Linked DNA regions of Struthio camelus. The protein of the gene in region 2 interacts with the protein of the main gene of each other region in a pairwise test. Links are inferred from orthologs where the notes say so. Each region holds a gene or a part of one and is shown on either strand. Other genes may lie near its edges. The genes, in order: C4H4orf46, KXD1, GABARAPL1 and CCDC185.

Region 1 (7,959 bases), on a different chromosome or scaffold from region 2:
AAGAGAGAAGATAAAAGTAACCTAATGAAGTGATCAGCGTTCCCCTAGACACCACAACTCATACTCTTGCACACACGCATTATTTTGTATTACAGTCTGTTAAATTTATAGAAACCGTGCAGATACATTATACCTGCTCTGGAAAGCATTATTTTGAACTTCTTGACTAGAGAAGATTATGCAGGAAGAGTGAGTTACACAGCCACAAGCCTGAGCTTGCTTGGTCTCTGCAAAAAACCAGAAATTGTATGCAAAAACCTGGAGGTCTTTTGCTGGAGCTTGGCTATGCTGCAAATCATATCACACTTAACCATCATAACATACAGTAGCTGTCAGCACTCCCCAAGACAAAAAAAAACAGTAGTTAAATATGTAAAATACGTAAAATGTAAAATAGTATGTAAAATAACGATCAGGCAAGAATGACCACAGCTACTGAGGAAACAAAACTGTATAAAGTCCTCCAAGTTTGTACATATGCTTGTACTACACCAATATTCCAGAGATTTCTAAAGAAGGCAACTCAACTTGCAGGTCACGTTCAGCCCACTAAAACAACAGTCCATCTAGTCAACAGCCCACCTCCTGCAGCTCCTAGGTGATATTAAGAGGGCTGGCTGCAAGTCAGATGGGTTGTTCTCGCAGAGATGACAGCTTGCTGCCTGTTACCCTCTCTCCTACAAGCATGTTAGGCTTCCATCATATCACCATGTCTGCACATAAATCAGTGTATTGTACATCACTCTCTGAGCACATGCAGAACGACTGCCTAGAAGTAGCAAGTTTGACATTGCAAAGAAACCATTATCTTATGGCTTGTGCACGGGAGTTGGATTCTGCACAAATGCAGCAAATCTAGTGCATCCCAGGATGCACTAGACGTACTTTGTATGTGCACTACCCTATAAAGAAAAGCAAAGGCCACAGTGTATCTGTTTAGACATAAAAAATTAGCATTGATGCGCTAAAGGAAAACAGACTAAAAACAAGACAGAGCGTTTTTCTGGTAAGTCACCACATTTTAAATGGAACGAAGGTAGAAAAGAATGAGTTGGATACAGAGTTTATTACCTTAGAGATGAACTGCAATGTTTACAGGTTCATACATACCCCCCGCTCCTTCCAGTCCGGAAAAAGTTCTTCTAAGGACCGTGGCTCAAGACAAGCACCAGAAAGTGTATGTGCACCAATCTGAGCGGCTTTTTCCACCAGACAAACACGTACTTCTTTGCCATGCTCAGTGGCTAACTGTTTGAGTCGAATAGCTGCAGAAAGACCCGCAGGGCCTCCTCCGACTATGACAACATCAGCTTCCTCTGCAAATCTTTCCATGTTTACTCCTTCAATAGGACAACAGATGATAAAACAAATGGATCTCCAGTTTCTCCTGCCCTCTCTCTCACTAAATCTTGCTTTGCGATACTGCTACCAGGTAACGCAGTAACATCACCTTGCATAAAAGAAGGCCAAATATTCAACAGAATGCTCACTTCAGTACTTGGAAGAGGGTAGAAGGACATTAGTATTCATTTTGTCAATGTACAATCAACTCTTTGTAAGTTGTAAGAAGATATACCATAAAAACATATTCAATCTGTATACACTGTAGGTAAGTATCAGCAATGTTAAAAATAAGAGCCTGGTTGCCTAGCTGTATCAAAGATACTTGGTGAAACTCTAGGAAGAGAGAAAGAAAAGAAAAAAAATCTTTAGTCAGAACAAGTTATTTTATTTTACTCTAGTTAATCAGCTACTGTTATGGAATTGAAGACATTAAAATTGCTGAATATATAGACTGGAATGGCCAGAGATATATATTCCTCTTATTTTGTCACAAACTTTCATGGCGAGAGCAACTGAAAAATCCAAAAAATACAGACCTGACTGAATTCAATCTTGTTGTGATAGTCACCCAAGTAAAAAGAATTTATAAACTTTTTTGACGTAACTAGAATCCAGTCAAATCTGACCTGATTTTATAGTGCTCAACACAATCGTTGTGAGATAGCAACCGTAAAATTTCATTTGGGATATTAGTACTGTACTTAACAGAATATAATTTCTGTAAAAAGAAAAAATCGGCAACACACTTCAGTGTTGTTAAAATTGAGTAATAACAATAAAAAGATGCTTTTAAAACACATGTTTTCACTTACCTTCCCATCGTTTGTCTTTGTCCCGAGGATGAATAGTATAATGCGTAGTTATACGAGGCACAGAGGTAGTAGATGCACATGCTGCAATATGCAGTGATGGAAGGCAGTCTCTCTTTAACAACTTTAAAACATGAAAACACAGACGTGCTGCAAAAACAAAAAACAGATTCACCAAATCATTAGCTTTCCAAAGTTTTCTATATTTCAGAGACACAATGGCACAACAAATACGACAGCCCCTTAAAAGGCTGCCAGGTCAAATGAAGATGAGGAAGCGTATAAATAGATTTTTAGTTATTCAGCAACTAGGACTGTGCATGTGTAATTTTAAATTTAAAAAATAAATAAAAAATAGAGAGCTTTCCCTTTAAGTGAATAGCACTCAAGGAATAAGTACACCAGCCAACCAATTCTGACAGCTGGCATACCACAGCATGCACGTACAAAGGAAAAAGACATTCTAAGTTCCTACGTCATTTTGAACATCAAAAGATTTATTGAAGACATCATTAAAAAGGACTAAACAACTGTAGAGAGAGGACATACAAGTTCATCCCTTTTGCAATCTCAACACATGTTCAGACACACAGCTTGGGCTGCTGATTCTAAGCAGCTGATCTAAAATAAATGTCACCATCTACAGTAAAAGCCAAGACTTAAACAAATATACTTTAGCAAGGCTAGAAATAGATACAGGTAATAAAGACACGCAATCTTTACCTTTGCTACAGAAACATTAATAGTTGCCACAACAAATTATGCATTCTCTTAAGTCTCAAATAAGCAAAATAAGACAAAAGGGCATGTTACATGCTTGTTCTAATTTCCGTCTTTCACAAAAAAAAAATCATGTTTTGGAGCTGTATGTGATCTGTTCTCAGAGAGCTAGTAAGTGTAGCACCAAAACTAGTTATAGTTACAAGATTTGTCAAGTAACGCACACTAAGTGGTATTTTCCCTTCCATTATGGATTCCCTTAGTCTAATTTCAGGGCAGAGAGGGAGAATACTATATTTGAAACACAGTATTTCTGCAAAACCACATAAGCAAAACCACCAACATACTGATGTTCGCTGATGTGTTTCATTGCCAACGGTGATTAACAAGGCCACCACAAACATCCTCCATCATAATTACATAGTGATAGTCGGGGTACTGGTCTCCATATGCAAGGTAATAATAAACGGACATAGATAATACTTTTAGGTTAACAGCAATTTTGCACATAACAAACATAACATAAACATTATTACTATAAGTAACAAGTAATTCTTATCACGACTCACAAGTACCCTTCACCTGCACAGCTAGGTAAAGCTGTGTAAGCTGGACAGCTTCAAATAATGGATCTGAGAACAAGCAATGTGTTTTATACGTAGGATAATAACTACACCAATATACATTAAAACACAATACCATAACTTCATTTCTGAGCTATTTTATTTGAGCAAGACCGATAGCACTATGAGTTACACAGTACTGCTGCTTGGCAAAAATAAAAAGTGAAATTGACTTAGGAATATGTTTAATAAACACAAAGGCAGGTCCAAACTCTGCAACGGCACCTGAACAGACATACTCTTTTCACCCAACGACCTGGAACCTGGGCGACTGTGTTACTGCAGAGCTGAGAGCTTACGGACTTGGCAGTTCGCATACGTGCAGCAATGAACAGTGAGTACGAAGCGGTGCAAACAATCGCTAAGAAAAGAGCAAAAACTCGCTCCCACGAAGTTCTTTGACAACCGCCGCCAAGGCATTACTTCTACGATTATTACCTCGATAACGACGTACATCCAATTACCTTACCCTTTAAAACACGCTACACCTAGCAAAGATCGCTGCAAAACAGACAGCTCTTTACAGCGCCGCGTTACATTTTAACACCAGACACAGCACGTTAACAAAATACACCGGTAGCCCAACCCTTGCAGGTGCTTACTGCGTAGTTTCACCCTCGGAAGCACATTTAAACCAGCAGAGACCGCAGAGACCGCTCCGACGAGGAGGGAGCAGCTGCTGCGGGACAGCCGCCCCCCAGCGCCCCCGAAACCTCCCCACAGGCGATGCCGGTGGGGCGCCCCCCACCCCCGCGCAGGCGCCGCGGCCCGGAGCGGCCGGTGGCGCCGCGGCCGCGCCGACCTTTGCCCTAATTCCGCGCCAGCTGCCGCCCCCGCCCCAGGTCGCCGTGCCCCGCCGCGGCCCGCTGCCCCGCCGCGAGCCGGCACGTTACCTCGGCTGGAGGACGGGCAGACAGGCGGCAGCATGACGGCGGCAGCTCTCCACTCTCCCCTCAGCGCTCGCACCTCCTCTCCACCGCGCCCACCCCACCCCGGCTCCCCTCGGCCCCGCCGCGCCTGCGCACTCGGCTGCCTGCCGGGCGACACACGCCCCGTCCCGCCCCACCCGCGCTGCCAGGACTACAGCTCCCAGGGCTCCCCGCGCGAGGCGCCGGCGGGACATACCACGCATGCGCCTGGCCACCACGGCCCGCGGAGGAACGCTTGCCCTGGTCTGATATTTAAACGCAGGCACATGGAGATGGCGACGCGCTGGTTTACACATTTTTTGCGCCGTGTGCGCTACAAACAAGACCAAGCGCTAGCTAACAACCCAGGCGGGCACCACGGGAAGAAAGACTACCGTTCCCGGCGTGCAGCGCGGCGCCCATAATTCCAAGCGGCGCTGTGCAGCACCGCCCCGTTCCCCCGTCGCACGCCCTGCCTGGTCTCGCCGCAGTGCCTGCCGGGATACCCGCGAGCCTTTCCCCGGAGCCGTTGGGGCGGGGCGGGGCGGGGCGGGGCGAGCGTTGCAGCGCGCGGAGCCGTTGGGCGGGCCGGGCGGCAGCGGCGCGGAGCATGGCCGAGGCAGGACCGCTGCAGCCCACAGCGCTCCCGGAGGGCCCGCCCGCCGCCGGGCCCAGGAGGAGCCGCAGCTGGAGCAGGGGGGCGCGGCCGCCGGAGCAGCTCGCTGGCGACCCGCAGGAGCTGCTGGAGGAGGTGGAGATGCAGATCGGCGACGTGAGTGACGCCGCGGCGGGAAGCGCTGGGAAGGGGGCCCGGGCGGCGGTAACGGCGGCTCCGGTCCCTGCAGCCCGGCCTCCTCGCTCCTGCCCGGCTCCGGCCGAGGCCTCCCCGCTGCCGCGGCACTGGGAAAGCGGGGCGCCAGCGAGTTGTCAAGCCGGGAGCCCTTTCCGGGTGCGTCTCGGCGCGTATTGCTGACCCCCAACCTCTCGCTCTGTCCTCTAGGCTGCCTTCTCGCTGACAAAGATCCTGGAGGCGACGTCTGCTGTATCAGCCCAGGTGGAAGAGCTTGCGACCAAATGTTCTGAAAATGCCAGATTTCTTAAGACATGGCGGGACCTGCTGAAGGAGGGGTATGATTCCCTGAAACCCAGCGAGTAGCTGGGCCGTCATGGAAAAAGTGGGAACTTCTGCTGCCTGATGAGGGATGTTGAGAGGGGAGTCATCCCACAGTATTTACCTTTTGCTGACCGTGCCTTGTGACAGTAGAGCTTGATTGGCATCATACCACGTTGTCTGCTTATATTAGACTTGAATGTGTTACTGCACACTGTGCCTAGTTTTTTTTTTAAAACAACTTTTTTAGCGATTTCACATGGTGAGTTTATTTTTTCATCAACAACTCATTTTGAGCTAGAAGAGAGTTCTTTGGAAAATACTTGTATGTGTACCAAAACTATGTATAAGTTTCTGAGTAAAATAACTTTGTTCAGGGGAGTTATCAGTTGTAACTCTTGGACTCCTCCTTTGCAGCTCAGGTGATCTCATATGTGAAAGAACTTTCATTTTTTGCTAATATAATGGAGACAAAGTTAACTTGTAAGGTACATCTAGAACTCACCAGCTGTGGGGGGGAGTGGTAGCCCATGAAAATATAGTCAGCCATCCTTTTAAGAACTTTGACTGTGCTAGAAGAAGCCCTCTTAGCTCCAGGGAAACTTGTCAAACTAATTTTTCTTTGTGCATGCTTTTTCTTCAGGTTGAGGATGGGATAATATGGCTAGTGAAGTCTTATTTAAGAGCTATAGATAAGCCACCCTATCCCAAATCTTACTATTTTAGGCAGTATTGCAATATATTTCTATAAAGATGCATTTGTTTTACAAACAGTTTGATAATTGGAAACATGTTACGCCAGACTTTTTGTAATAAATACAAAGTGCCTTATGCATTGACCTTAGATATATGTTTGGTAGAAATTTAACTGTGTTGCTTACTGATAGGATGGATTATTTGGAATTATTAATACAAGCTTCCTTCAGTTAGAATAAGTGTTTGTAAACTGTATTCTCTCATCTCTGGGGCAGCAGCTTGTTCTGTTTTTGGCCTATTGTATGTCCTGCCTCAAGCAGTAACTAATTAATTAATCTAGTTTGTACTATAAACAGGACCTTTTGGTCTGAAAGATCACTAATCTGTAATAAATAGTTGCATTGAAACTTCTGTATCCCTTACCAGAGTAATGTGAAAAAATAATGCTGAAATGCAAGGGGAAGCTTCAGGAGAATGTGGCTGTACCGTGACTTGTAGCAAGCCTAATTGTCACTGGTAGGAGGATTTTTAAAAGACAAACCGTAGTTTTGTTATCAAAAGAATAAAGATGTTACACCAAATTAGGAACTAACTAATATTCTTAAGGTACTGGTAGGAAACAAAAAAATACTGAATACATCCATAATCAACTTCAAGTGAAAACAGAAGTAGTGGTAAGGACAGGTGTCCTTAACATTCCTTATAAAAAGCAGTTATTGTCATTGAGAATGCTGAGCTTCTATGATAATTAAAAGGGCAATCCACATTGCAGGAATTCACTGAGCTATTTTTTCCAGTACCCTAAACAACTTGGAAAAGAAGTCACTTTGATCAGCAGATCATCCTTTATTGAAATAAAATATACAGTAGTGGAAACAAGATGCTCAACAAATTTTGATTTCAAGATGATCCAAAATTCTGTAAACAGTTAAAGTGTGAGTCACACTAAGTTTTAATTCAGCTTCTTACATACTTAAGAAGTTAAGTGCAAATACTAGAAGTAACTTTTAACTTTCTTTTAAAGAACTTCAAGATCATCAATGCAGAAGAGGCATTTCTTTTTCTTGGGCTGCTAGGCCATTGGACTGAGTGTGGTATTAGAGGAGAACTAAGGAAGTCATAGTAATTGGTAGTGGAAAATGTTCTTTTCAGTAAATAAGTGAATAAATTGCCTCCGTTTGTGTCCTTATACCTTCTTCTATGTACAAAGATGATTGTTTTAGGTGAGGTAAAATGATTTTACCTTGTAACACTGGGGAGTACAGTACTACTCAAGTGCTCAATGATTGCATTCCCTAAATTATTTTAACCATAATGCATTCAATTTGATGCACAAGGTGATTAAAACTTAGATGGCATGACAACTATTAAGACTGATAGGCCTCTATTTGTCAGTCTCTCACTTGGTTTGAGAGGTGGAGGAGGAATAAAAAGAGACTTAACTTTTCATCCTGATCAAGGATGAGTTGTCAAAAGGTCAGGAACTGTTGCAAGACGAAAAAATTATTTTTGTATCAGTTCTCCCTGCAAGTAGACACATTGATCTACTTTCTTCCTGCTTTGACTGCTGGTTCTGGTGAGTCAGTGTGTCCCCTCCCTTGTTATTTTCCTCATTGCTATAAAGCAGTAAATCCACGTATGTGAAGGTTCATAATGTGTTTATGTGTATGAATTTAGTCTGGTTGACTGTGTAGTCACTGATGCCTCAGAGGAGTCTGTACAAAGAACAGGCTTCGATAGCTTTGGTG
Region 2 (7,334 bases):
GCCTTCCCTGTGGCACCCTGTGGGTGCTCCCAGACCATGAGCTCTCTGGGACAGGGGGTCTCGCATGCTTTTAAACCACAGAGCACCTAGTTTCCCAGGGTCCCATCCTACTCACAGCCTTTAGAGACTGGAAAACATGATGCTAATAATGATGTTCTCGTGAAATGCCCAAGAAAAAGGCAGATAAAACAAGCCCAATCCGGGACTGATGCCTGTCCGTACAGCTGAGCACCCTGCCTCGAGCTCGCGCAGGCAGCACCTCCCTCCGCGTCCTCCCCCAGCTGGCTGGGGCCATTCCCTGGTTCTGGCAGGGCTTTCGATTTCTTTCTCCCCAGGCTCCAGCCCAGCAGCTGATCATTAACTGACCGGAAATTCCTGACCCAGGGATCGCTCACGCCTTGTGCTGGCCTGGGCGCTGGACTGAGGTCCAGGGCTTCTGGGGCTGCTCCCACAGCCCAGTGAATCATGCTCTGGGCTGCCGCAAGTGACTCCGAGGACGTGGCTGTGCTCCACCTCCAACAGCAACAACACAACACGCTGGAGCCGCCCCGCAAAGCTGGGGTAGCCAGGACCCTACGCCCAGGCTTGCTGAGCTACGGATGGGTTGGCAGGGAGTCCTGCTGCCGCAAGGACCAAAGGGCAAAGAGAGAGTATCACAGCCCAGAGATAAGGGCCCCACCAGCTCAGACAAGCTCGGACATTGTACCGTGGGTGCTAGCACGCAGGGCACCATGCCGGGATATCCAGCCCTTACACAGGAGCACCACGGTTTGCAGTTTTGCATGGCCAAGAGGAGAGCCCTGCAAAGCACAGCTCAACAGGATCGCTAGCAGCGCTCAGGGCAGCCTACCTTGTTCGAAGGCTCCAGTTTCAAAGCCGCCTTTAAGATGGGGATGGCCTCTCTGTATTCCCCCTGCTGGGCCAGGACCTGGAAGGCGAGACACAAAGCTGAGCAGGGCACTCGGGGTCCATCCCTCACCCCTGCCCTCTGTCCTGCCGTGGCCGGGCTGTGGAGAGTGGAAGGCAGAGCCCGCCGTGCACCCAGTCTCACCTTGCCCTTTCGGAAGAGGGCCTTGATGTTCCCTGGCTGGTGCTCCAAGACGAGATTACAGGACTTCAGGGCTGCCTCGTAATGATCCAGTTTGAGCTGAGAGGCTGCCAGGTTGTTGAGACATTTCACCTTCACATCTAGCAGCTCGGCCTCCTCCTCGGGGCTGAAGTTGACTGCAAGGATCCCAGAGCCCAGTTACGCCAGGAAGGCAGGAGCCCGGCCAGCCCTCCTCCCTGGGCAGGCCTGCCGATACCTTTTGAGCTGGAGTCGATGACCTTGAGGGCGATGTCGTAGGAGTTGATGGCCAGCACGTAGTCTGCCTGCTGGTAGTAGAAGTTGCCGCGCTCTCTCTTGCGGTTGGCCAGTGCTATCTTCTCCTTCCCGTTGAGCAGCTCTAGGTCCGGCGCGTCCCGAGCCTCCAGCAGCTCCACCTCCAGGAGGAGGGCTGCGTTGGGTGGGATATCAGGGCTCCTGCATCAAGGAGGGCACTTCTGAGGGCTTTTGCAAAGCGAGGGCCTGGCTGACGGCTGCCCCCTCTGCCAGTTCCCCCAGCCAGGCTGGGCCATGGGGATTTAGGGGATTTAGCACTACTTGCATCTCACCAAAGCCGCAGGCTGCTCCAAGCGCCTCCGGTCTGCCCTTCCCCACTCACCTGCCCTGGGGGCCGTAGCAGTACTTTGCATCTGACATGATCAAGGCTGTTTCTCCCATTTCCAGGAGCTGCACACACAAGTCCAGAGCCTACAGAGACCAATTTTGTGGAAGGAGGTGAGCAAAGGTCCTGCCCCTCCAGAGAGGGAAGCCAAGCGGCTGCTTCCCACTGGCAGACGAACTGCGCAGCTGGGGATGTCGCCGACTCCAGACCCTGCCAGCCGCCCCTACTGCCCCAGGCCCGGGGCAGCGAGGTGCCGCCCAGCGCGGTAAGAACAACACAGCGATAAACCAGGGACAGCGGCAGGGCAGAACTGGGCAATCAGCCTGCAGCACCCACATTCGTTTCTTTACGTGGTCTGGAAACAGGGTGCTGAGTTAAACCCCCCACCATCCCCAGTCAGCAGGAGGCCCAGGCTAGAGGGAGCAGGCACAGGAGCCCAGTGCTGCACCTCTAACTGTGCTCTCCTCCGCAGCCTGGCCGCAGGGCTCGGCCTCCCGGCTCTTACCTGCAAGACATCGCAGTCTCCCAGCGTGAAGGTGAGGCTGGGGTTCTCCTCCACCACGCTGCCGTCCTCCAGCGTGGCCTTCAGGCGGACAGTGACGTCCTGGCCCTTGCGTGGCCGGCTTTCCACCCCCTGACCCGGCACCAGGGTCTTCTTCTTGAGCAAGCCGCTCCCTGGGCAAGGAGAAGGCGGAGGCACGTCAGCCCACCGCAGCGGCAGGGCCCTGCACGGGGAGGGGAAAGGGAGACGGCCTGGCTCCGAGCCACGTCCCCCGGTTTCCAGCAGCGATCCCCCGCACCAGCCGGCCTTTCTGCTGCGAGAAGCGCCACCATGTCACCCCGTCGACCATCCCACCACCTCCACCCTAAGCGACGGATCCCCACAAACCACGGCGGAGCCCAGCAGCAGCCTCGGCCCCTGGCACCGGCTCAGGCGCAGAGCTGCCTGTCCAGTCCTTCCTGCGCTGCTGCTCCCAGAGTGCCTGAAGAGCTGTGGGGAAGCCCACCTCCTCCGACCTCCCCTGAAGAAGCCCGTTCAGCTCCGTGAGCCAGCTCAGCGCCTTGGACAGGAGCAGAAGATGCAGAAGTTTCCTCTGTAGGCTCTTACCCAAGACATCGAGCCATTCCTGAGGGTCCTCAGCTGCTTCCCCTGGGGCCTGCTCTGAGGACTGGGAGTCCTTCGCTGGGGTCCTCACCCGGCCCATGTCCTCCAGCGGGGGCAGCTCGCTCAAGTCATCATCATCATCTTCCAAGACCTCAAAATCCTCCCCGCTGTCAAGCGGGGATGTGCTGGCTCCAGCGAGCTCCGGGCAGGACAGGTCCGTGCCGCTGTCCGCCCAGTCCGGGGAGCTGCTGCTCTGCTCCTCCCCGCTGGAAGCCATTGCCGCAGAGCAGGGAGAACAGCAAGCTAAAGGGGAAAGACATTCAAGAGGTTGGTCCTTTGTTTGCCAAGGGGATGAACGCAAATGCCAGCCCTCCCCCAGCCTGGACAGAACACTGCAAGCGGTGACTAGGAACAGGACAGATACCACCAACCCTGCGCCGATGGAGAGCTGCAGCCGTCGCTCGCTCATTCGGACCTCGCACCTCAGCCCCCAAAGAGAGCAGCCAGCAATAGCAGATCACGCTTTCCTTTCCCGTAAGGTTTTGGGGGACCCTCCCCTGCTCTGCCGGGATGCACTGACAGGCTGAGCCGAGCTGCCAGGTGCTCTGGCCTGTTTCTGTGTATTGAGACACCTGCGTGCGGGGCAAGCGGGTCTCCCCGCTGGCCCGGCAGCTGGAGGCTGCGCAGCAGGCAAGCGCGAGAGCCTGAGCGGCAGCCCCAAGGGCCGCCCCGGGCGACGCTGCTCTCGGCGAGCTGGACAACCGGAACGTGGTCCAGGCCAAAGGCCTGAGCGCCCCGGCAGGGCCGAAGTCCGGCTTCCCCAGGGAGGCGAGGGCCTCCGCGGCAGCGAGGCCTGGCGGCTGCTGCTGCCGCCACCTTCCCGGGCGCTTCGCCGGCCCCGCTGCAGCCTGTAAGCGGCGCTGGAGCCGGGCACGGGCGGGTAGGAGACGCCCCGGCGACGCCGGGCACCGGCGGAGACTCGGCAGCGGGCGCAGCCGCCCGACGCGACCCCCGGAGACCCCCGCCGGCCGGCCACGTGCTCTCCCCCCGCCCCGGCCGGGCGGGCGCGCGCGCGCGCCCCCACGTCACCGTCGCCGTCACGCGCCGAGGACTCCCCCTAGCAACGGCCGCCGCCGCCGCGCGCCCCCCGCCGCTCCCACCTGGCCCGCGAGTCAGCTGCCGCCGGCCCCGCCCCGCCGCTCCCATTGGACGGCCGCGCCGCGCCAGCGCCAACGCCATTGGGCGGAGCGAGAGCTCGTCACCGCACCGCCTTAAAGGGGCCGCGGGGCAGCCCCGGGCGCAGGGGCAGCTGCCGGCGCCCCGAGCGGGCCCCGGAGGCCTCTCGCGCTCCCCGCCCCGGGGTTATTTATACGCCGGTAGCAAGTCCGGGCCCGCCCGTCGCGGGTCTCCGCGGCCCCGGCACCAGCGGGGAGGGAGAGGAGAGGGGGAGGGATGGGCCTTACCGGGCGCGGGGAGGCCCCGCTTCTCCCCTCCCGCGGGCCGGCGGCCGCCGCTTCCGGCCGGGCGCCGTGACGCAAGGGCGCGCTGACGTCACGGCGTCGCGCGCTGCGTGACCCGCGTCCCGGAAGCGAGGCGAGCGAGCGCGCGCGCCGCCGGTGCCGCCGCCGGTGCCTCCCCGCCATGTGAAGCCGCGGGGACGGGCTCCCCCAGGTGCGCGGGCCGCCGCCGCCGCCGGGAGGCCCCAGCCGTTACCGGGCCGCGCTGCGCCGCCGCTGGGAGGCACCGGGCCCGAGTAGCCCCTTTAACGGGAGGGGGAGGGACCCTGTTACCGGGTGGGGGGGGGGCGGCTCCAATACCGGGAACAGGACGGCGGGAGGTTCCGTTAACGGAGGAAGGAAGGGCACCGTCACGGGAGGGATTCGGTGGGGCCGGGGGAGGCTCCGTTACCGGGGCCGAGAAACGGCAGAGCGAGGGGGTGTTTCCCTAACGGGGGCCGGGATATGGCGGGCGGGCGGGCGGGGGGGGTCTCTGTTACCGGGGCTGGGATGCAGTTGGGGGGGGGGGGGCTCCATTACCGGGAGCGGGATAAGACAGGCTGTGGGGGGGGGTCTCCGTTACCGGGGCTGGGATGCAGTTGGGGGGGGAGGGGCTCCATTACCGGGAGCGGGATAAGACAGGCTGGGGGGGGGGTCTCCGTTACCGGGGCTGGGATGCAGGAGGCGGGTCCTCCATTACCGGGAGTGGGATGCAGTTGCAGGGGGGAACTCGGTTACCAGGGCCAGGATGCAGTTGGGGGGGGGGGGTGTCTCTGTTACCGGGAGCGGGAGGCGAGTCGAACCCGTGCCGGTCCCGCAGGCGGCGGCGGGCGCGATGGAGCCCACGGCCTCGCGGGTGTTCTGCGGCCGGGTGATGGGCATGGTCAACGCCGAGGACGTCAACGCCATCATCCAGGCCCAGAAGAACATGTGAGTCGCCCCAGGGTGACCGGTCTCCCCTGGGGACCCAACCCCGCGCTCACGAGTGCCCCGGCTCCGGGCACGGCCCTGGCAGCGAGCCGTGCTGGGCGGGGGGGGGGGGCGGTCTCGCCAGGCATCTTCAGAGCCCCATTTTCGCTCTGAGCAGGTTGGATCGATTCGAGAAGACCAACGAGATGCTGCTCAACTTCAATAACCTGTCCAGTGTCCGCATGCAGCAGATGAACGAGCGGTTCTTGCACCACACGAAGACGCTCGTTGAAATGAAAAAGGACCTGGATAGCATCTTCCGAAGAATCAGGTGGGGCCAGGGTCAAGGGGCTGGGAACGTCCCCCGGGGGTGGTGGGGGAAGAGAGAAGATGCAGAAACCAAAGGGTCTCTCTTCACCTAGAGAGATCACGGAGCGCTGCTGTCTGCAGAGAGGGGTATTAAAATGTGACACCCCTGTATGAAGGATCTTGGACCGTCACAGAAACCAAAAACAGGTGGAGAGAGAAAAACACATAGCAGAGCAAACACGTGGGTGTGGGGAGAGGCACTGGTTGCTGAGCTCGGAGCTTTAGGAATCCCAATTTAGGAATCCCGGCTTTGCAGCTGGGCCAGTGACTCTCTGCACTCCCTCTGCGTCAGCAGGGAGGGACGCAGCGCTCGCGCTGCTCAGGAGGGTTACGAAACTTGGGGTTTGCAGAAGTACCCGGTTTCCTGACAGGGAAGCTGTGGGAGCTCTGGCTAACGCTGGAAGTTTTGACTCCGAGGGCAGGGAGCCTCTTGGCACAGTGCTGGGCTTCCTGGGGAACAGACGGGGAAGACGCAACGTTCCCCAAAGAGCTAACTAAAGCGGGAGGCGCCTGCTGGTCTGGCAGCCGGGCGTCAGAGGATGAGGGATGCGGTTCAGCTCTGGAGCGACCCCCGAGGCCAGCTGTGCTGAGGACTCACCAGCCCGCCGCTGGGGGGGATTTGTCAGCTCGTGCGTAAGCCTGGCTCTCTTTTTCTCCTCTGCTCTTGCAGGACGCTGAAAGGGAAGCTAGCTAAACAGTACCCAGAAGCCTTCAGCAGTGAGTGATTCTTTGTTATTAAATCTGACTTGCAGCTTTTATGTCAGCTTGCTTTCAGCGTGAGGAGTCCTTTTCCTAAGGACACATGGCTCAACTTTCTGGGGTTGAGACCCCTCTAAAGAAAGAAATAATGAGACATCCAGGCATGTGCCAGCTCATGGTAGCTGCAGTGAAAAGTTTGGAGAGCTTTTTTTATTCTCTTAAATATGCTTTTAAGAGGTTACAAAGCCACAAATAACTGATGTCACCTAAATTAGTAGCCATCTATTGATTACTGTTACAAGCAGTCAAACCTTTGAATTAGAAGGGAGCAAACTCTTTGCTGTGCTTATGTTAGAGCGTCTCTCATACCTGGTGTTACACGGGCTGTGTATTGTTGTCACAGATGGCCAAAGCAGTAAAACTAACTGCTGCGTCTTCCCTTTCAGACATCCACGAATCTCCGATTCTAGATGACGATGATGATTTTGACCCTGTTCCAAAAAGCACGACAACCACCATTGCTACCTCTGAGCAGAGCACGGAGTCTTGTGACACAAGCCCTGACATTATCTCTCCAACCATGAGTCAGGATTTTGAGGATTTATCACAAGGCCAGTACGATTCACCGGCTGTGAACGGACAGAGTCTAACAGATGAAGAAGCTGCCAATGACCTGGACTAGGTGTACTGATACTGTACAGCCACAGCCAGCTCAGCTGCCTGGCCTGTGGAGAACTTCCTGTCCTGTATTTATATTTGTGTGTTTCCTTGGCCATTACTGTTTTGGGAAGAGGGAAGTGAAGGCTGAGAGGTGACGGCTGAGTGAAGAAGAGACCCCCTTCTGCCTCTAAACTGCCACCGTAGTGCATACCCTGCAACCTGATACAGGCAAATAAGTAAAACATGGATTTGAAACGCCTTTTGTCCTTTCTCATTTGTGTGTTCAGGAGAGCAGCAAACCCCTACGTTTGATTTAGACTTTGGCTCTTTGGAACAGAAGAGCGCTCTCCACAGCTCGGGGTGTGGGTGTTTTTCTTGGGAACGTAATTT
Region 3 (7,665 bases), on a different chromosome or scaffold from region 2:
TTCAAAAATATCCCAGCAGCCCGTTAGTGCATTGTTCCTTTCTTTTCACAAGACTGTAAGTAACAATGGTACCCTTCCCCAACATGCCATTGCAAACCATCAGATGGAACAAAGGGATCTTTAAATCCCAAACTTGTGTTATTCAGATCTGGGCTTTCGCCATCTTCATCACGCAAAGAGGTACCTTCTTTAAACTCCTTACAGTATTATTTGTATGCATTTCAGCAACTTGAGCAGAGTCAGGACTGTTCAATCAGTTTGGGTGCAGTGACCACGCAAAAACAAGAAGCTGTAGAAAATAGGTAAATGAGATGAGAGTTCAGCGTAGACAATACAGAGTCCTTTCCTAAAGGAAAGGAAAACATATACACAATCAGCCATTGTTTGCTAGGAGTGACCAGCCCTGCACCCTCACCCAGGGCCAATGTGCCCATACTGGCTCTGGAGCTGCTACAGATTCAGTGCCAAGTGAAACTAGTGACCAGTCACAAGCGGTGCAGGGGAGGTGCCAAGGACTGGGGAACTATCCATGTATCTCAGACAGACAGCAAACAGAACAGAATTACAAGTGACTTCTGATACACTCCCTCTGGTTTAATAATGATTCAACCTACACTTTAGAAGTTTTCTGACAAGAGAGGCTTTGATATGCCTGAAACTACACTAAAGATTAAAAAAAGTCAGCCTCAGGAGCTACAAAAGGAAAAAAATATCCAGGGGGAGGTACTAATACAATAAATATTCAAGGAGATTCAGAGTTTCAAGCAGCTGACAGGAATAAACAGCAACTCCAGCAAGTTCCCAAGAGACATCCACCTGGATAACACCTCCAAGACACCTAGGGCAAACAATAGGGATATTTTTACTGTGAAGTTATTGAATTTTAGTCATTAGTGCAGATACACCCAAGTCAGTTTCACCTCCCAGTACTGCACTGCAAAGCTCCTAGGAGTGCTCCTGGAGCGCTGTGTTGTACAGCATGGGCTACAAAACCATCTGGGAACCTGCATAAATATTTTTATCTCCTGTTTATCTGGCTACAACACTGGCAATGCAATCTCTTTCAAAGTGAACCTATCTGCTCACATGATCTGCAGACACAGCAATGTGCTACAAGTTCAAACTGTTCAGACATTCTAGGTTAAAAGTACATTGTTTGGCCACTTTGTGGACCAGTTTGTGCTGGGCATCCAGTGTGGGAAAACCAGCGAACCTCATCTCCAATTCCTCCTTTTAGCACACAGACCTAGAACGTGGGGTTTGTCACATGCATATGGCTTGGCATTTTAATAGGAATTCAAAGTCAGATGATTACCTGCTTGTCACTTCTTCTGCATGTATCATCTTCCTGCTTGCTGTTGTGGCAGTGACGTTACTGTTATTATTGAATAAGTGGAGACAGTTGGGAATTCAGTGCCTGACAGGGAGGAAGCAGGAAGTGGGAGGAGTGAGTCTTGTGGCTGCACATCTAGGGCTGCATCTTCATGGCAGAAACAGTTCCGTAAGGAGATTTGTGATCCCAACACAGGATTTGTTGGGGAGGAAGAGCCACCTGGCAATGCTCTCACTGGCTATACCAGAGCAGGGAAGAACACCAAAGCTCCTCCCTGGTTTGTCAACAAAATTTCAAACAAGAGCCTTGTCCAACTGCTCTGTATATAGTCCTGTAGTGGGACACAGCAATTACAGCAGGACAACAGGAGAACTGATTTGTTAAAATGGACAGAATAGGTTGGCAGTCTGCGTGAAATAGGCTGGAAAAATTCCGTTCTCTTGTGTCCTTGAGGAAAAGGCATCTACACCATTACACACCTTCAATACACTTGCCAACTTTTGTGCTGCATGCAATTAGGAGGCAAGGAGGAGGACAAACACGGGTAGTACAGAAAGGTGCTGCGCCATGAAACTAGAATTTTCCCCAGGTGTAACCCCTGGTCTTTCTTCAGTCTAGGCCTTGCTATGGTACTGCACAAAAATGATCCCTTGTTTCTGACTCACCATTCTGAGATCCTCTGACACTACCTGCAGCCACGGGGAAGTATTCACATGTCTTGGGACAGACAGAAACAAGCTGATGATGCTTCCTGTACTAATAATGTGCATATGAACTAGTGAAGGCTGAGACACACTGATCTATGCCATTCCCACTGCACTGCAGTACCATTAAGAGGTGCTGGTACGTGCCTATTGGAATAGATTGTTGTGCTATGCAGAAAGTCACATTATACAGTGTGGAGCAGTAAAAACTTAGACACAAAAGCCTCTGCCAGAGTCCGTGAGGGGTACACGAACATCCGAAAGTAGATGTCTATATTCAGGAGAGAAAAATCACAACCCATGCCTATTTATCTCCGTTGACTCTAAAGGCAACTTAAGATGACAAGCTCAGCTGTATGCACCCATGCTGTTAAGTGTAGGTGAGATTTCTGATTCACTTTCTCATGCCAGACAAGAGTACCTGGAAACTGCCACCATCTGAACGTACCTGCATCAAAGAAAATTTATTTCCGCCACACCTATCTTACCCATATGCAAAATCAAGGAGATTAGGGTGCAACAGGGCTTGGAGAAAGAAAACTATCAAAGGACCTCTGAGTTCAGGCTCAGAGGCTGCCTGCTTTTGAAAGCAAAAGTGGATAGTATATGACACAACTCTCTACAAGGCAGAGGGGACAGACTAATATCCTGGATATGCTGTGGAAATTTGTAACAGGCTCCTTCCTAACCCTGGTGTCAGCATCTCAGTTGCACCCTGCAGGCAACTCAGGTGTGCATATTAGTAATATAGAGATACAGCCACCAGTAGTGTCTGAACTATGAGTTACTTGGGGCAACTAAAGGATTTATGTGAGTACCTCTAGAAAAAGACCAGAGTTTTATGCACCCTTGACTCTGTTTTTATCACTAAGGAACATCTTTGATCCAGCTACTGCTTACTCTTCAATTTCTTTCTTTTTTTTTGTTTTTTTGTGCTTCCAGAATCAAGCTGACTCTTCACTTTAGTCTGGATTTCTTCTGCATTGATCACGCGCTAGAAAGAGGGTGCCTGCAAAATAGCAACGTTTTTTCTTATCCTGGTTAATTCTGATGCAACACATTGGCAGAACGTTGAATGAGATATGGGGAACCCAGGTTCTCTCACTTATGCCACTGGTGTAGCCTTGGACACATCAAGCATTCAAGGCAGTTCATTGTCCTGCTCAGCACCTCCTACTTCAATTAAAATTACTACACAAATAAAAGATAATCCTTGAAAAAGTTCTGCTCCTCTGCATGAGGCATGAATTGAGAGACTTAGAACATTTTGATATGCTCCCATTCAGTTGTTCATTTTCCCCAGGATAGCAGCAATTAATTTTTGTACTGATTTGAGCATGGTGATCCATTCATTAGTACCTTCCTTTCTTCTAGTCACTAAATACTGTGAGCCTAACTGCCCCCCAAAAACCCAAAGATATTCCAAATATGTTATCTGTTGAGTAACTGGGCTAAAATTGCCCCACTGCTTTGGCTTGTTTGCAAACAGTTCACTTTAACTGTGTGCTGTTTGTAATGTGCCTCTGGTCAGGTGCATTACACATCACACTTTCCGCCCCTTATTATTTAACTGAAACTTCATAAACAGGAGAATAATCCAGACCCAATAATGACAATGTTAGTCACTAAAACTTGTATTTTTTTCCTCTTAGATCTGGCAGCCACTTAAATAGGTCAGTCTCGTCACCTCTGTTTTAAATAAGTGGAAGCAGAGGCATTCAAGCATTACTTGGGGAAACTGAGGCCTGGGGACATGCAGCAGCTGATCCAGGCCAGAGCCCTGCAAGCCATGCTCCACAGCCCCACTGCCCACCTTCACGGCCATCAAAGGGAAATTCTCCGAATTTGCCCTGTTCTTAAGATAGGTCGGGGGTTGTCCAAGTGCCAATGAATTACAGATCCGCTAGCTGCTGTGAGCCTTGCCGTGCAGCTCTTTTTGTGACAGCGCTCCCCGGGCTGTGTGCCTGCCCACTCTGCTCCCAGGGCAGGGAGCCCCCGGCCAGGGCAGCTGTCCCTTCATGGGCCTTGTACACCACGGTGTGTTAAACAGCACTGGCAAGGAGGGAGAAGCAGCATGGCTGCCTGCAACCCGCAGAGATGGATATCTCCGTTCATGCGGCTGCTCGGCTGTATTCATAACCCCTGAGTCATGCTGGAGATAGTGACACTGCTCAATTATAGGCTCATTTTGCCTTTGTATTGTGTTTGGTGGGGGGAGGGGGAATGAGGCGACAACCAGTACAGTACAGTAAAAAATATATATATATAATAATAACAATGATTAAAAAAAACCACAACCCTGCATGGCACGGAGTGTGACACAAGCCCTGCGCAAGAGAGGGAGCAAGAGCTGCAGCTGTCACCTGCTCCCAAGCGAAAGCAGGCCCCAACTCTGCCCGCTGCCTTGCACGGCGCTGACCCCTTGCCCCGCGCCCCGCGGCTGCCCGCGCTGCAGGGCGCGGACACCGCCGTGCCCTTGTCCTGCCGCACTGTTATGATTTTGCCGCATGCCGCCCTCCCCCCGCCAAGGCAGTGGTTTCGCCCGGGAGCCCTTTGTAGCGAGGGCGTCGCCCACGAGCTGATGGGGGGGTACCCTGCGCGCCCCCTACCCGCCGTGGGGCGCGGGCCAGCCCCTGCTCCCGCCCGCGGGAGCCTGGCGCTGCCGCGGGGGCGCCGGAGGGACGGGCCGGTAGAGACCGCCGTCGTCGGCCCCGCACGCTGCGGCAGCCGCTCCTCCTCCCCCCCCCCTCGGGTGCAGTGGAACCGTCTGGAATGACGGCAGAGGTGCCTCCCTGTGACGTCACAATGCCCGATTTGCCCCAGCGCTGTTTCTGTGTTCCAGGGCGGCCGCGTCCTGCCGCAGGTGGGCGCGGCGCGGCGCGGGGGTCGCAGCGGCCGCGCAAGCTCCGCACGGCTCCGTGGCCCGCTGCGTTGCGAAGTGCCCAGTCGTAGCTCACGAAGCGGCAGCAGCCCTCGGAGGGGCAGCTGACGCTTGGGCAGTACACCAGCATGAAGTTCCAGTACAAAGAAGACCATCCTTTCGAGTACAGGAAAAAGGAAGGGGAGAAAATCAGAAAGAAATATCCCGACAGAGTCCCTGTGAGTGCGGTGTGTGAATGTATACTCGGACAGCAGCAGGGGATTGCAAGATTGCTGCTTGCGGGGCTTGCCTTACATGTCATGCTGCCATTCTGCCTCTCTTTGTTCTCATTATCAATTGTTGTCCTTTTTTCCCCCCCCTTTATTAAAGGGAAAGCAAATTAGATTAGTAAGCATGATGTTTACCTTGCTGTTCTAAATCCAGCCTGCTTTTCTCTTTAGTGCAAACCTATGATTATTTTTTATGTTGGTCTCTATTAGCAGTAGGTATGAGGATGGCAGGGTGTAATATACCCTCCCTCTTTCAGGAATCTGCAGCAATTTGACAGCTCGAATGCTGCTAATCTTTCTATGGCAGCCTGTGTGCATGGGGCTGGGGGGTGGGGAAGGAGCTTATCATCTGCTCTGTGAAAATGGAGGAGAACAACGAGTTTACCATGTACTCTTCATAGAAAACTAGAGCTGTATCCATGTTGTCAGATATGTTCCCTTTATTTTTTATTTTACTTTCTTTTGGCCTGTCTTTTCAGTATAGTCTTGTTCTGTTCTTGTGCTTTACATGAGAGAAAAACGACACTAATTTCTTAGCCTTCTGCCCTCCTGTTTAACCTTCTTATGGAAAAAGCATCACTTAGGAAACAAGGTTTTGATCTCTTAGCCAAACTTTACTTCCTCCTCCTTAGGTCCCTTTGGAATGCCTGTGGAAGGCTTCTAGTTTTATAATTACTGGTAATAATTGGAAAAAAAGAAATGATATATCAAATTAATTGTGTGGGTTTTTTTTTCCTATTAAATGTTTTGCAAATGTTCTTTCTTTCCATCCCCACTGGAGAGATCTGTCCTAGATTTACTGTCCGGGGTACTGAACTGAGACTCCCCTGTGAATCTAAGCCTAAGGGAAAACAGTTATGCTACATGTTTTCCGGAGAGACCAGCACCATTTTGTATCTTAGAGTGGCCTACAGCTGGGCTTGTAAAAATGCTGGAAAGTCAGAATTTGGGTGCATTTGGCTGAGCTGCAAATTCAGGGACCCTTGGCCTAGCATAGCACGTTGAGAATACAGCTAGACAATGATGAAGTGGACACTCTTGCGAGTTTTAAGATGAGGACCACAGAAAATGCTCTAGGTCAGAAGTGAGATAAACTATAAACTGAAGATTAGCATGGCAGTTTGTGCTCCAGATCCTGAGAGATGTGTCCAGAAAAGCCATATGTGGGGAGCCAAGGACCAGACCTGGTCTGGCAAGAGGTAAACGAGATCAAGGTAGAGGGGCATGAGCAGAACTGTAGGGAAGAAACTGGGACCCAAAGAGCAAGGTGTGCTGCAGTTAAGGATAAATGAGAAAATCTGCATGGGGAGGCCCAGATGTGGATTATGAGGGGGAAGCCTGTTGAGAGAGCTGCATATGGAACAGATGAATGCAGCTGACAGGGTTCTTTGCATCACATGTCTCTGCCCTTCCTGACAGCAGGATCCTTGAAGACGACATCCCTTTGGCTGCCTACATGGTAGTGCCCTGATGCATCTCAGCGTTTTGCTGAGATTATAATGTTGGCACAGTCCCATGTTACCGCTGACACCACCCAGCAACAACAAATATGCAGATAATCTGTTGCTACACTTTGGATTTTCTTTGTCGGGGTAGGGGGGGAGGGGGTGTGTGCATGCATGGGTGCGTGAAGGTTTTAGTACTTCAGAAAGAGATACCTGTGTTACCAGGCAAACTAACTGCTGTTGATAATCAGTTTAGCAAAGCACCTTCTTTCCTGCTCTGCTTCTTTGCAAGAGGGAGACTTGTTAAGCTCAGTGATTATCTAATTTGAATGCTTCCTGGGGATTTAGAAGCCCCAGCATTCTCCCTTCTTCCTCACAGGCACGATATACCTTTGGATTTCACCACCATCTTCTTTTCCTTTATTATCTAACAACCAATTACGATCTATCCTGTTGGGTCAGGATGGGCATATCACTGCTGCTGGCTAACAGTTCTACGTGTCTGCAGTTTTGGTAATTGTGAAGAAAGAAAGGTTTCTTTTCATTGCAATTTATTGTGTTAGATAATGCCTTGTAGTATGTGTGGGTAAAAGAACCTGCAAAGTGCTATTGCTGTTGAGCCGACATCTATTCAGTGAGATCTTGAAACTATCCTTCCTTCACAGCATTGTCCTATGTCAATTGCCTCTGCATAGAAATACATATCCTATCACAACGTATCTCAGAGAGCTTGAATGACTTGTACTAATCGAGGTGCTTGAAAAATCAGGTTCTTGAAAAGGCAGTGATGGCCATACTTCTATTTTAAAAACAAATTTAAATTTTCAGGACTTTGGGCCATGTTGAAAGCATCCAAATGAGGCACAGTGAAGAGATGGCCAAGTTAGTATCTCTATGGTGAGGCATTCTTTGCAGATACTCACTTGGTGTAGATAGAGTAGACCTGGATTATTATGGCACTTTGCCCAGGCTAAAACAGGCCCATCATCATAACACAGGAAACGCCATCTGAACATGAGAAAATGCTTCTTCA
Region 4 (7,005 bases), on a different chromosome or scaffold from region 2:
AAATGTCTGATTCCACAATTTCACCATATAGTTTCCATACCAATTTGTAAGACTCCAGTGAATGCACAGATGGGTCACTTTAGATGGTCACAGATACGCGTAATTTCAACTAAAAGATCCCAGGTACACTCCAAGTACCTTTCATGTAGAGAGAACAACTAGAACCATTCTGACATTTGCAGCTCGAGGTGTAGCCAGCCTTGGAAATAGGGCTGAGCTGAAAGGGAGCCCCTGAGCCCTTGGGCAGGGGAGGTGGATGGGGAGCTGCAGGTGTGCCAGGCCAGGGCCATTAAGACCTCCTGGTGCTCTCAGGGTGCTGACAAAAATGAGCAGTGCATTTATGAGTTGCAGCAAGGTTAAGGTGAAACCGTTGTAGTGTAATACGATCCAGAGCTCTTGCCAAATCACAGAATGAATAAACTACAAATCATCTTTTTGGCACATAAATGGTTGCAATCTTTCTTTAAAGTTTTAAGAATACCTGCATTGTAACAGTCATCTAAAGCCATCTAGTCATATGCACGGCTATTCATCAGTTCTCTTACTTTTTGTCCCAGGCCATAAGATGTTGTGGGTATTCTTCTAGCTTTTCCTGAAGCAGATTCCTTATCTCTTAATATTTGATCACTCTTCTGATCTCGCCTTCTAATGGCTTCTTCTATTTCCTGTAGTCGACATTTTTCATCATCTTCAATTTTTTGCCTTTGAGAGTGATGGTTTCTTTCTTTTAAGCAGTTAATTTGCTTGCTGCGTTGTACTTTCTGTTGGATAGTTTTGGCCAGCATTTCTTGAGCTTGCTGAATTTTCATCTCAGCTATTTGCAGCAACATACTTTTACGTCTTCTCCTTTCTTCCTCTGTCTCTTTTGCTCTAAATTTGGCCATAACACTTCGTTTTTCTTCCTTTAGAGCTTTTTGTTTTGATTCCCTATTCCTTTCCTCCATCAGCTGATCAAGGATTTCTTTAGATCTTTGAAGTTTTTGCTCTATAGCGTGTCTCTTGCAAAGTTCATCAGCTTTGACTTGGTGATCAACTTGATCTTTCAGGCGTCTGTGTCTTGTCATTTCATACTGGTTCAACTCTTGTCTCTTCTTCTTCCTTTCAATTTCTTTTGAAAGCCTTTTCTCACAAGCCCGTGACATTTTGTCTCGGAGCAGATTATACTTCAAGTCTCTAGTATCCTGCTCCAGGATCTTTTTCTCTCTTAGCTGCTTTTCTTGACAATATTTCCTGTACTCAGCTTGCAGCTTTGATCTTTCAAGTTTTGCCTTGCGCTTGGTTTCTTCCTCCTGCGCCAGTCTCTTCCATTTATTCTCTCGCAACATCATTTCTTTCTGCCTGGCCTCCAAGAGTCGTTTCTCATCCAGCCTGCGTTTGGCCTTCCTTTGATCCTGGTCTCTCTGCCATCTCTTCAGGTTTTCCGCCATCAGCTGTTGCCTCTCCTCCCGTCTGGATCTGAGTTTCTTCTCCTGCCTTCTCACCTCATCCCAAACCTCAGAGGCCGGCAGCTGCCTCACCTTCGTGTCCTGCTCCTCCTGGCATCTGCACAGCGTCAGGGCACTCGCTGTCTTCTCCTTTTCAGGGATAAAATCGTACTTCTCGTCACCCAGACCGCGGAGCCTCTGGGGGGATGCGCCACTTCTTGGCCTCCGCTGGTAGTGGCCATCAGGGTAAAGGTTTTCCGCCTGCCCGTTGTCATCCTCACCGCTGCACCCCTCGGTGACGGTCTGCACCCGGTCCTGCAGGCTGCTGCTGCTCTCGCAGGCCTTGGGCCAAGCCCCGGCCTCAGCCCCCCTCTTCCCGGCCTTTCCGCTGACACTCTGCAGCTGGTCCAGGGAGAAGGAGGACGAGCAGGGGGAGGCCCCCGGGTGGTCGCAGCACCGCCGAGGCCCTGCTGCCCTGCGCCGGCCCCTGCCAGGCCCCGCCGAGGAGACGGTCGCAGGACGTGGTGCCCCTTGTCCCGGCCGTGGGCCCCGGCGGAGGCCGCCACGGGGCAGCATGGGGGCGGCAGGCAGGCGGGGACCACCGAGGCCGCTGCATCCTTCCCCGCCGGCCGCTGCCGGGCCGCGCAGGTGCCGGGTGCGGAGCGTCGCGCGCCGGTCCGCCATGTCCTGCCGGCAGCGGCGCAGGCCGCGGGGCGCCTCTGGGGCCCGCCCGCGCGCGCCGCCCCCGCCTTGTGGCCACCTCACGGCCACCTCGGCGTGGTGTCACAGTGGGGCAGTGTGGGCCCCGGCGGCGCCTGTGCTGCGGCTCGCTCTGGGGCCCGGCCCTGGCTGAAGCGGGCGGCGAGGCATGGGGGAGCCACCGGCAGGGCGGTGGGGCCAAAGGAGCTCGTGTAGGGGGTTTTCTTAGCTCTGTGCCCCAGATACGTCTCTGGAGCCGGGTATAAGGATGGGTTGGTACCGTGTAACTCTTAAAAGTGCTTTTTTGATGATGCTTTTTTGGTGGGTTCTTCACACGAAACACCAAACTTGCAGTCAGCCAGGGAGGACACCGCCGTAGCGGGGGAGAGTCACGGGTGGGACTGGACTTTTGGCCCTTCCACAGGGTCACCGCCTAAAGGCCTGGACTACTTCACCAGCGCTACAACCCCCTTCCCCGCCCCCAGCGTTGAAAACAGAAAGAGTGGGGTTGAGGAAAACGTGTTATTTAGGACAGTAAGACGAACCCCTTTGTCACACAGAGTGGCAAAGTATAGCATTCGTCTCGCAGGCGTACAATTGAAACAGATGGGTGGGCAGAGCTTAGAAGCGGAGGAAGCTAGCGAACTTTTTAGGCCCAAGGCCAATCTTAATATGGTGACTACATTCTTAATATACCTCTTTTAGAGGGACTGACTGAGGCGAGGTTTGTTTTACAACAGACAGCTCAAGGAGCCCATCCAACGTTACGGGAGAATCTTGTGGGGGTTTGTGAGCCTGGACCTAGTGTTAGTCACAGATGCTGTGAATGCTAGTGCTGCTTAAGAGCTGGACTTGAGGACCTGAAGAGGAATTTCAGTTTCTAAATCCCTTTGTGAATATAGCTTCTAGTTCTGCCAGCGTGATGAACACTTCTTCCAGCAAGGAGCTCTTGGACCAGTTGCTGAGTAAGGTCTCCAGATGGTTCAGCCCTATACCACAGAATGTCTCTTGGCTTCTTTGTTCCCTTTGGAGTCATACTACAGAGCGGCATGCTAGGGGGCTATGTTCTTTGCGGCTAATACCAATAAAATAGATGGCTGTGATTTAAATCAGCTGAAGCTCTTTTTAGTCTCAGCATGTGCGTTAGGCAGTACAATGATAAGTATTAATCCACCCTGGATGTTTTGAAGATGTAGATGGCTGTGAATAAGTCTTTTATCAATAATTAAGAGGCACAGTCCTTCTCAGAGACAGTTTTCTTTTAAGCTCCCAATGGAAGAAGCTGTATTTTTATCAGCCCTATAGATGACTTTTAATTGACTTTAACAACTGTGAGCACTTTATTTTCAGTATTACTGTAATGTAGTAATAAGTAAAAATCATTTTTAGTTAGTCTGCTATCTTCTGACAATCAATACATTGCATAAATTTTTTCAGCATATTTACTTTATTTCTTAGCTTTTTCAACACAAATTATGTTTGGTGGCTTCTTACTGGGCATTTTCTTAAACCTCTCTTTAAGAACTGTATGCCTTAAGTGAAGGTTTGGTTTATGTTTGCTTAGGTAATACTTCATTCTTTAAAATTAGACTCAGGAATCTTAATTATTTCACTACTCTGATACACTTATTTTGCACATGAAGTTTCTTGAATATGAGAATAACCCCCCCAAAACCTTGAATGAACAATAATGCATGCTCGTCATCCCACCTTGTGTATATCTGCCACTCTCCTGTATTGCAACAGATTGAATGTTTCATAATAAAAAGAGTTCTTATCCTCCTTTAAAGTGACAGAGATAATTTGGTCTTGGGATTATTATTTAAGTAGCTACTAAACATAATATACCTCAAAGCAGAGAGCACATGGAGAATGATGCAAATGAAAGCAGACGGCCTTCTCAAACTATTTGACTCTGAGTTCATAAAATGATTTATGAAAATGCGACTTATGGAGATGAATTACTGAAGGACCAGATGCATTAATTGTAAAAATTATGCCTGCGGAAATAAGGGCAAGAAAATAAAATTCTCCTACAAACCAAAGTACTACAAACATGCTGAAAATTGGAGCATCTTTATGCTAAAATATTCTACAGCATTCCTCGTAGAAAAACTATTTCAGGTAAATACCTAAAAAAATGAATCTATCAAGGATATTTAGGCAAATAGTATTAATATTGTTTCTAAGGGTGTCACAGATGCCATGAAGTAAAAAAAGTACTATTGTCCTCATCTTAGAGAGGAGGAACTGAAGAGAAAAAAATAGGAACACAGGGAATCTCTATTGAGCAAACAATTGAACCTGTCTTTTCTGACAGGTTGGCGCTAATCTATTCTTCCTCTCTAATATGCTGTCTACATCTGCATGCACTTGCAGTATAGTTTTGACATATATTGACGTAACTGAACTTGGAGTTGCTTATCATGCAAATCAATTACATTATCAGAGATGGCTCTTACCCAGAATTTTACAGTACTTAGCTTCCATTTCTTCATGTTGTGACAGGTGGCTGGCAAATTGGGCTTAAGAATGACTTAAGCTGTACATATTTTCTTTGCACAAGAGTTTTGTCTGAAATGATGGAGAATCAGTGTCTTACTGAGGAAACACCTTTAAAAAAGGTGAACATCAGCTCCTTGGTAGCTAACACAATTCAGAGAGGAAGCTGGTCTGACGTACAATGACGCCTGGCCATTTGTGAGAGAGCACAAAAGCTCCTCTGCATCTCTTTCTGGAGTTATGACATATGCTCCACTGGCGCTGCCAGACATTTAGGCCGGTTTACTGGTTGTATCGTTTCACTAAATTTACAACCCTACATATAATAGGCAAGAACATGGTATTTCAAGGTGGTATTATTACTGGGAATAATATATAATAATAATAACATTCATTAGGGCATATAAGTGCCGCTGTGTTGCGTATTTAGTCCCTCGGAGTATAAAAGGTAAAAGGCTTTATTACTAGTGATCAAAATGTATTTCTAAATGTATTTCTAAAAGTTCATTAAACTGCTGTCTTTGTAGTCTCCTTTTTTTGACGGCATCAGACTTTTGAAGTGCAGAATGATTAGTGCAGTCAGCCATACAATCAATCTTTTAAGTACTTGAATACCAAAATAACACTATAAATAAAATAGCCGTATAAATAAAAAACACTCAAATATTTTATTATTTCATTCCTTCTACCATGTTGACTAGGTAACTAGGGAGATTTAGTTTTTCTCTCACCTACCCATGACTTGCATCCATTTAAATGAATCTATCACTGAATAGCATTAGCAATATATGTATAGTAATATATATATAATATATAGAGCTGGAAAACTGTTTTATTGTGAACCACTGTCATTCTCTCTTACTCCTGCAGTTTCGTATAACTCTTAGCTGAGCATATTGCATGTTTGTTTTGTAGGGTCTGAAGTAGAGGTTGAGGGGTCATACTTTGGGTCACATTTAGCTGACCATAAAATTTCTTTATGAAAAATAGGCCACAGCAGGAATACATCTTTCACGCTACAGTCAGATGCAGACAGGAGGGCTAAAGGAGGTAAATGAATTAAGGACGTGGAAATACATTTTTTCTCTTCTTAGTGAAATACATTAAGCATAGGAAACAATAACCATCTGTTATGAGAAATGCTGGAGGTGAAAGGTTTCCAAGCTTCCTCCCGAGATAGAAGTTCAGGGTGGATCGCTCATGTCACATACAGTAAAGAACAGATAACTGCAAATGCAATCGAAGAAAACAAATATTTGACATCCTTATATTAAAAAAAAAACAAAAACAATTCTTCAGCTAGCTGGGATAGAAAGGCATCTCTCCATTGATTCTGACAGAGATTTACTTGTTTATACATGGCTTATCCTGAGAAATTATTTCTTTGATAATTACTGGGTGTAGGAGATATTACACATAGAGATGGAGCTCATCAATAGAATAGATATTTAGCCTTCCTCAAAATATTTACAGGTTGGATATTGGTTCAACTTATGTCAGAGAAGAAGCTAGCTTTAATCTTCAGGTCCTGATATCTGAGAAGTCTGAGTCTGCTATTATAAATGGTAGACAATAGCAAGCTTTCCTGTGTTAGCCTAGTTCATGGAAGAGAAGAAGCTGCCTACCAGAGGAAAATGAAACTTTCGCCCCTTGACGGTGAATGGACATGAACTGTGATAGCAGATGAGCTTATTGCTACTGCTTATGTTTGTTTTAATTAAGTTAGAAATTCTAAATGCCAAAAATAATCAAAATCCTGCAAGAGAAGATGGAAGGGCTTGTTGTAGCAGCAATTTCTGTTTTCTAGTCTGAGCAGGTCAGCCCACGTGAAGTTTGCCACTTTACCCATGTGTTTGCCATTAAAGCTGCTCCAAGAAAGCAGGAAGCATTCTTTAGGGAGTCCAGTAGGGTGCACTAAGAGGCTATTACACATGCAGCTAGTGGGAAATTGCACTGAGATCAAACAACTTGGGCATCAGTTTGTTTCTGTTGTTTTTTTTTTCTTTTAAAGGTGACTATATTAATTTGGAAAACAACAGTACCTTTCATGAATGATCAAAGCTGTCATGTAAGAAATTGCAGGAAACTTAACATATTCAAGCCATCACTGAGCAATATTGTCCTGCTTTCCTGAGAGAGGTGCTTTAAATTCAATTTCATTTTGAGAACACTCTACAATTGCAGTAGAACCATTCATAACATGATTGAGGTCAGCGATTTTATCTCAGAGTAGGTCCCACTAATCGCTTGGTTTCATATGTTATTGGTTGTGAGGAAGATTCTAATTATGTTTCTACCCTGTGAAGGACTGGTTAATACAAAGAAATCTCATCTCCTTTTATGATGTGTTCAGCCTAGCAGTTACTTTTGTTCTAAATTG

What was found.
Region 1: the proteins of KXD1 (region 2) and C4H4orf46 interact in binary tests that used the Homo sapiens proteins (3 or more experiments, as listed by UniProt). The two-hybrid records come from large-scale screens. The link is inferred for Struthio camelus from reciprocal best matches to the Homo sapiens genes KXD1 and C4orf46.
Region 3: the proteins of KXD1 (region 2) and GABARAPL1 interact in binary tests that used the Homo sapiens proteins (3 or more experiments, as listed by UniProt). The two-hybrid records come from large-scale screens. The link is inferred for Struthio camelus from reciprocal best matches to the Homo sapiens genes KXD1 and GABARAPL1.
Region 4: the proteins of KXD1 (region 2) and CCDC185 interact in a two-hybrid assay, tested with the Homo sapiens proteins (2 studies listed by BioGRID and IntAct). The two-hybrid records come from large-scale screens. The link is inferred for Struthio camelus from reciprocal best matches to the Homo sapiens genes KXD1 and CCDC185.

What each region holds. Positions count from the first base shown.
Region 1 is NC_090945.1:41,088,430-41,096,388, reverse strand, and holds the start of C4H4orf46 (renal cancer differentiation gene 1 protein), read left to right. Parts: upstream 1-4,951; 5' UTR 4,952-5,014; coding exon 5,015-5,176; intron 5,177-5,404; coding exon 5,405-5,560; 3' UTR 5,561-7,870; coding exon of another isoform or gene 7,871-7,959. Other genes in the region: ETFDH (electron transfer flavoprotein-ubiquinone oxidoreductase, mitochondrial), read right to left, coding at 1,111-1,340, 2,157-2,303, 4,390-4,423; RXFP1 (relaxin receptor 1), read right to left, coding at 7,871-7,959.
Region 2 is NC_090967.1:5,912,073-5,919,406, forward strand, and holds KXD1 (kxDL motif-containing protein 1), read left to right. Parts: upstream 1-4,323; 5' UTR 4,324-4,482; intron 4,483-5,127; 5' UTR 5,128-5,142; coding exon 5,143-5,237; intron 5,238-5,394; coding exon 5,395-5,547; intron 5,548-6,255; coding exon 6,256-6,302; intron 6,303-6,730; coding exon 6,731-6,966; 3' UTR 6,967-7,199; downstream 7,200-7,334. Other genes in the region: peptidyl-prolyl cis-trans isomerase FKBP8, read right to left, coding at 851-928, 1,052-1,224, 1,305-1,522, 1,704-1,792, 2,212-2,381, 2,815-3,114, 3,972-4,050.
Region 3 is NC_090942.1:89,400,628-89,408,292, forward strand, and holds the start of GABARAPL1 (gamma-aminobutyric acid receptor-associated protein-like 1), read left to right. Parts: upstream 1-4,653; 5' UTR 4,654-5,046; coding exon 5,047-5,136; intron 5,137-7,665. UniProt on the Homo sapiens protein: Ubiquitin-like modifier that increases cell-surface expression of kappa-type opioid receptor through facilitating anterograde intracellular trafficking of the receptor. Involved in formation of autophagosomal vacuoles.
Region 4 is NC_090944.1:67,114,828-67,121,832, forward strand, and holds CCDC185 (coiled-coil domain-containing protein 185), read right to left. Parts: upstream 2,109-7,005; coding exon 510-2,108; downstream 1-509.